2 linked regions of the Drosophila melanogaster genome follow. The protein of the gene in region 1 interacts with the protein of each later gene in a pairwise test. Each region holds a gene or a part of one and is shown on either strand. Other genes may lie near its edges.

Region 1 (3,436 bases):
GAATATTATAGCAAATCTGTTATATTCGATATGAAATAACACATTTTCATTGAAAAATATAACAGCATAAAACTTTATAAACGCTGTACTACGCGCTTCGTGTCCTCTTCAATTGACTGTTATACAAAAGCACAAAAGTTCATTTTTATAGCAGTTGAGATTGTTAATTCAGTGTTATACCTTTCGTTACTGTTGTTATACAACTATTTATATTTATAGCAGCTGGGGAAGTCCTTTAAGGGGAATTCACTCAGTTCATTTGCATCATTTGTTAGTAGGGGAGGTGCTAAGAGTGCAAGTTAGTTTCTTTTTCCCTTTTTCTATATTATTTAGCACCCTTATTTAATTTACATATAAAGGCAGAATCGAATGCATTTAAATAATTAATCTACTAAAGCCTCGTGTCTTTAAATTGCCACGACTTTCGTGCCTTACCTAAATAAATGAATATGACAATTTTAAAATAATTGCTTTAGCATCCGCAAAAAATGTGCTGCACCATTGATGAAGTTAATCGGTATCTGGGTAATACGTTTGCGGTAGAGTAATTTTTAAAGTACTGTTCAAAGTTAAGAAATATTTTGAGAAGCTTGGCATAGTTTATTAAGAAACATCATTGATAAACGATGAAGGAAAACAATTTCTAATTTAGTTGCATTAGAGTAATTTATTTTGCTGCTTCTACCCGACACCTAAAATACACTATACGTTCTTGTAAATATTTCCATGAGGATTCGTCGTCATTGCTGGAGTTGTCATATTCATTACTGGATGACTCCCCGAAATCCTACGAACTTATGGTGGTCGTTTCATTATTAGAGCTAGAGTCGTCATCGGTGGAAGTCTGCTGCTCCTGGTACTCCGCAATGATCTCATCCAGCTTGCGCTCCACGCTGGGCTTCTCCAGCTCGTGCTCGGCCAGGGTCTGGCCCACACATCCGCTGGCATTCAGGCCGATGGCCAGTAGTCGGATGCCTTGAAGCTTCAGGGTGAGCAGCTCCGCGGGAGCCGAGTCGAGTCCGCGTAGTGCCTCATTGATGCCATTGCGGCAGGACAGGAAGCTGAGGTTGAACTGGACGCAGAGCTCGACTTGGTCCGTCAGTTCGTTGGTGGCATTGTGGTACTTTTCGATGGCCTCTTGGACATTTTGCTCAAACGTGGCTTGCTGCGCTTGCAACTCCTCCAGGCAGCTGTGCAGATATCCGGAATACCGGGAGAGTAGCTCATTTATGATCTCCTCGGCTTCCTCGTTGCCAACTCCATTCGTCAGCTTATCCACTCGTTCCAATTGGGCGTCAGACCATTGGTACCACTTCTTCTGGATTATGGCGAAATACTCTTGTTTCTTCTCGTCTATCCGATCATTGAGGTTATTCACGGCCACTTCCAGATCATTTACGACGGTATTGACGGTCTGCAGTCTGGCGAGAGCATCCTTAAGTGCCTCTCGCTGCAGGATGTTTCTCACCCGATCAATCCCCTGATGCAGTGCGTCGATCTGCGCCCTCAGAGTCGCGGAAAAGTCGACGATTGACTCAGTGGCGGCTCTATGAACTGCATCTGCGATTTTTTGGGCAAACTCCAGGGTTTCGTGCGTGTACTGGGCGGAGGAGTTCCTTATGCTGTCCAGGAACTCACCAGCAATGGCCGTGCCATTCCTGGTGGCATTCACGAATCCACTGATGATGTGCTGGCCAGTTTGGTTTATGGAGCCGAAGATTTCATCCAAGAATTCCGGATGCGGTGTGGCAACAACGCAGCTGGCGCTGATGGCCAGGGCGAGCAGGAGAACGGCTGACTTGGTCGAATGCATCGTCGGTCAACGGATAGCCTAATCATTCTGCACCCTGGACCACCTTTTATATATCTCGGCTACGTGCGCTTGGGCAAATACATTCGCTGACTATTTCAATATTGAAGCAGGCCGGCATTTTATTAAATTAGTTAATATTTAATCAGCCGCTTTCCATAATGAGCGAATAGTGGAATGCATGCTGGTTGGATAACTTTTCGAAGAAAGCTCTGTGCACATTTGTTTTACTGTACTTGGGGGCAATTAAAAAAAAAATTATTTTATGCATTCTCAGTGTTATGAGGACAATGATTTTCTTTATTCAAACACAACGTTATTTTTTTAATCACCGCAAAATACAGTACTCAATAAATAATTAACAACGCGAATATAAATATAACTTTTGCCTTGCATTTTCTTAAAATCCCCTCTCAAATCCACTCACTTAAAGCATGCTTATAATAAAAGCCCTTGGCTTAAACTATGAAAATAAATCAAATAAGTCAATTTCGCGTGCATTAAAACCGAAGGCTCTTTATGCGGGTCTCACACAATCGCAGGCAGGTGGTTATAGACCCACCCTGCCATTTGCACAAGGACAAAGGTTAAACTCTGCTTTAATTTTGAAATTTATATGCCTGCGAGACAAAGGAGCGCATGTTTACGCTCAGGTTAAACCCTTTTGTGGCGAACTTTATGCATAACTAACCGAACGAACTGGGTGGTTCTTTTTGGGGGGCGTGGCAGGACGTGCACATAATAATTGTCTTTAGCATGCCTTTATTATGACTTTAATTGTCGCTTGACAAACGTTGACACACAACGACATGAAATGCTCGCCAGGTATATGTATTGTATAAATGTATATACATTTGGAGATATGGAAAGTAGCTGGCATTGTGGGTGGCGAGGTGATGGGGTTGTGATGGCGTGGTGATGTGCCGAGGCCTTGAGCGACATGCACTATGAACATTTTATTAGTCTGCTGTTAGTTTTGTTTAATTATGCTGTCATTAACTTTGTCGCACAGCCACACGCCTAACTGCAAAACAAAAGCTTACATGTCTCAACGCAATTATAGCCGGAGTGGCCAACAAAGTGCTCCATGGACAAGGACAATGGGTTGGCGGAGCGATCCCGCACTCTTCTGGTTGCCATTTTTCCCAGCTATTTTTACACCCATCCACTCCACACCGCTGCAGTCTCCTCAATGCACAGACATTTAATTTTGCGTTTTCCACTAATTGGCTTGCATACTTGCCATATTCTCGCTTCGCTTAATTAATTTAATTAGAAATATGTTTCAGCTCAAAAGAAATTCAAACCTCAAAACCGTTTCAATAGCAATCAGTTCCGTTTAGCATATGATAATGATGTCGCAATTGCAATTACCTGTTTAAAGAAAGAGGTCGGGTCGGGTCGTATGGGCAGTAACTTGCCTTTGGCGGATCACGCTCATCATCGGCTCCATTTAGAGGACATCAGGTGTGGAGTGGGAGAGTCTGGTCCATTTAAGAAAAGCAATTCATGTGGGGAATTCGAGAAGCATGAGCTTAAATGCTAGCTCAAAAAAGTTTATGTAAGTGGGATTACATCACAAATATCACTTGACCTTAATAGAATATATTTGTCTTACACGTGATA
Region 2 (3,760 bases), on another chromosome or scaffold:
GAGCCACCAGCCATTGAATCACTCGTCGGCCGTACGGGCTGCTCATTAGCGCCTTTAGATCTCCGTGTAGGTGATCGTAAATTGCCTTCTTGGTCGCCTTAGTGTCGTCCAGTGCGTTTAGCAGCGAGATGAGGAACACGTGGCCGTGCTCATGGTTGGCGATCTTTAGCAGGTGCTCCTTGATATTCTTGATAATGGCCTGAAGAAGGGGTTAGAATACATATAAGATTCTGTTTCATCAACACACGTTATACGTGATCCACTTACTCTGCGATTCTTGGGCGTCGACTTGTAGAAGCATATAACAGCCGCCTCGCTGCCCTCCTTGGTGGACAGCATGTGAGGCACTAGAGCCGCAAACGCAGTGACCGTCTCCTCCAGCTTCTCCTCATCTTCGTCGCAGGCGCGCAGGTACTCCAGCATCACGGCGTGCACCAGCGCACTGTCCACCAGCTGCTTGTTGGCCACATGATCCAGGTTTGCTTTAACCGACCCCAAAATGGAGGCCTTCATGTTCGTGGCCTCCTTATAGGTGTCGCTCAGAGTCTTCACATTCGAATCCTTGGCCTTCCGGTACAGATCGCCGTAGAACTCCTGGCGCATATAGATGCGCTGATTGGGTGTGGCGCTCTGATACATCGAATCCAGCAGCCCACTGCCGATGCTGTGTCCGGCCAAACGCACTATATGTCCGTACAGGCTGTCCACCAGCTTGGCTTTGGTGGCTGGCGCACCGTACTTGAGCATCCGTTGCACGCAGAACTGGGCGTATTTCGACTGGCACATCTCCACGGTGAAGGGAAGCAGCTTCTCAGAGATCTCGGCCCGCAGAGCTGGCGACGCGTACTTTAGCATGCTCTGGATCACGCGGGCGGTGTCGTGGGCCTTCACCACCTTTGAAATAGTGTCGCCCACGTTGAGCACCTTGTATATCTGCTCCACCAGCTTGTCCTTGTTCTCCGTTCGGCGGCTGCAAGACAAGCACCAAATTATGTTGATATATATATATCAGAGCAATAGGATTTGCGCATTCATTAGTTGTAATTTTACGAAAAAAAAAAAAAACGCGACAGAGGATAGAGCTGGTTTGTTTATGACCAAACAAAACAGCATGCGCTAAATAGGCGTCTTTGGAATCTACGCTCTTGGTTCTAACTCAACATTTATACAGAAATACAAGGCTATATTAACTTAGTTTTGATACTGATCAAAATGCTTAACTAGCTATTATTGTTTCAAGAACATGAATAAAATGTTTGGTGTTTTTGAATTCGAACCAAGTGGCAATGTTCGGTTTTTCCACGAACAGGTGCTTCGTTTTGGGATCCACATGGCCATGTTTATCGATATCTTGTCCTTTAAGGAACCAAAATGACTTATAATTATTAAAACTATATCGTATAGATTGATGCCTTATGAAATTTAAACAACTTTGTACGTTCTGAATGTACATAAGTGCATGAAAGAGCCCGATTTTGTTGAGCTATCATAATTTGTATAGGTAATTTGAGCGCTAAGGATGATAATAACCGATTGTTTGGGCTGTTCATCGTGTTTTTGGGGATGCTCACCATCGCAACTTCTCGTGGATCTGGTTGGCCTCCTTGCTGATCTCGTAGGTGTCCTTGGCACTCTTGCGCTTCAGCTTGAGGTCCTTCTTCTCCTTCTTGAACTTGTTCCAGTCCTGTTTCTCGCCCTCCGCCGGCGCCTGTGGCTGTGTTTGTGGTTTTCCGCGGAACTTGTTGCCACCAAGCCTCTTGTCGCCGGTGGCTCCGGATTTGTCAAACTTCTTGAAGCCACCGGGCCCAGACTTGTCGAACTTCTTGGCACCACCAGCGCCTGGCTTTACAAACGACTTGCCTGCTCCTCCGCCGAATTTGTCGAACTTCCTGGCGCCTCCTGCTCCACCGGGCTTAAACTTCTGTCCGTTGGCGCGCTTGCCGGACGATTCATGGGCCTTGAGGGGCGAGGCCGTGTTGGCCACGTTAGCAGGTCCTTTCGGCTCCGAGCTAACCATCTTTGCTGCGTTTTCTTGGACACTACAACTAAATAACAGCAAATGTTTTTGCCAAAAAAGCGAACTACACGTGCTGCTGATGCAGAGTGACCAGATTGTTGCAGTATACCCAAGCTGTGTAAATACCAAAATCTGGTATTTTCGTTCCACATACAGTAAGTATCAATGAAGTGCTTCTATTTGTTTAAAATTTAACTCAAGTTAATGCGTTCAGTTCAATTTGACTTTCCATTTGAAAGCGGCTAAAAAATAATAATCCATGTCTAAATATTAAATTTAAACTCTTCCTAAACTAAGCTCCTCAATGTTGATTACTTGTTATAGAAGGTCAAATAATTTTATGCATGTATTTGCGTCGTTTTATGAATATATGTATGTATTCATTCCCAAAAACATATTAGAATTGGTCTAAAAATTGAAGGTACCGATTTTTCATTAACGGCACTTGCCAACACTGGCTTTGCGGGGTAGCAGCCGTGTTTCTCGCGCTGGCAACCCTGTCCGGCAGAGTTCACGCACTCGGGCAACCTTGTCGTTGGAGGTGTTCGCGAACGTCGACAACCCTAGCGGCAACAGTTAAAAAATGGTGTGAAACGGCGACGGAGAACGCGGCGTGCAACTGTTGGAAGCCACTGCTTGGTCCTCGTTTTGGTCCCGGGTTCTGGTCCTCCTATTGATCTCCATCTCCGCCCGGCCACCAGCTCGAAAGCGCACCTACACATCATAGTTTCCATAGACAGTCCCAGTTCCACATCCACTCCCCCGCCAGCCAGCCAACAACAACAAAAACAACAACAGCAAGAGAAACAACTCAGAAGTCGAAAGGAATCTGGGAACTCCTGCGACTCCCCCGCGCAATGGGCACCATCTCATCCGTGCTGCAGTGGTCGTGCACCAAATGTAACACTATCAATCCCACGGAGTCGCTCAAGTGCTTCAATTGCGGCACCGTCCGCAAGGTGTTCCCCCAACAACAGCAGCAGCAGCATCGCAGCAGCAGCATCACCGCCTCCTGGACAGCTGATGATGCACTGGAGCAGGAGCAGGCGGAGAAGGGGCAGGAGAGGGACAAGGAGAAGGGCAGGGCGGCGGTTGCCAGGTAAGCGAAGCGGTCGCCACAAAAACAAACAGCCTGTATGCCTCCTCTGCGAGGATGTGCCTGTGTGTGTCTGTGTCTGTATGCGTGTGTGTGTGTGTGTATGTGGGCGCCAGTGGTGGCATCCAATTGGAGGACAAAAGCGCTAGCTAAAATCATGTCGCATATGGTAATGTGTATAGAAATCGGTGGCGTTTTCAAATCCAACTTTTTTCGCACACACATTGTATGCACACTTTGGAAAATATACAAATACACAAATATGTACATACTTTCATCGGTAAAATTCGTCAATCAAAAACCTTAACTTTCAAAGAATAATAATACCAAAAGCTTACCAACGTAAGCTCCTATGCTGAACTTTAATATCCAAAGAGCAGACCGAGTAAATCTTAGTAAATTTTATAGTTCTCACTAACCCTTTTGTGCATAATGAAACTTAAAGAATAAGAAAACAATGAAATCGGTTAGGAAAATCCTGATTAACTATCCATAGGAATAACTCGAATGGGAGTATAGGAATAAGTTGAAAGATTTTTATATTACGAACTTAAGTTTCGAAAGGCTAGGAAAAGGTACAGTGTGTACAAGTACACAGTTCAAAAGTCTAGCTTTAAAAGCCAAGCCGTCGGCACTGGTGATTGTCC

Evidence for each region. The genes of interacting proteins can lie anywhere in the genome.
Region 2: the proteins of CG16826 (region 1) and peng interact in a two-hybrid assay, tested with the Drosophila melanogaster proteins (one large-scale study listed by BioGRID).

Annotation. Positions count from the first base shown.
Region 1 is NT_033779.5:13,346,174-13,349,609, reverse strand, and holds CG16826 (uncharacterized protein), read right to left. Parts: upstream 1,838-3,436; 5' UTR 1,814-1,837; coding exon 788-1,813; 3' UTR 590-787; downstream 1-589.
Region 2 is NC_004354.4:21,347,735-21,351,494, forward strand, and holds the start of peng (penguin), read right to left. Parts: upstream 2,110-3,760; 5' UTR 2,018-2,109; coding exon 1,572-2,017; intron 971-1,571; coding exon 268-970; intron 200-267; coding exon 1-199. Other genes in the region: sol (small optic lobes), read left to right, coding at 2,875-3,116.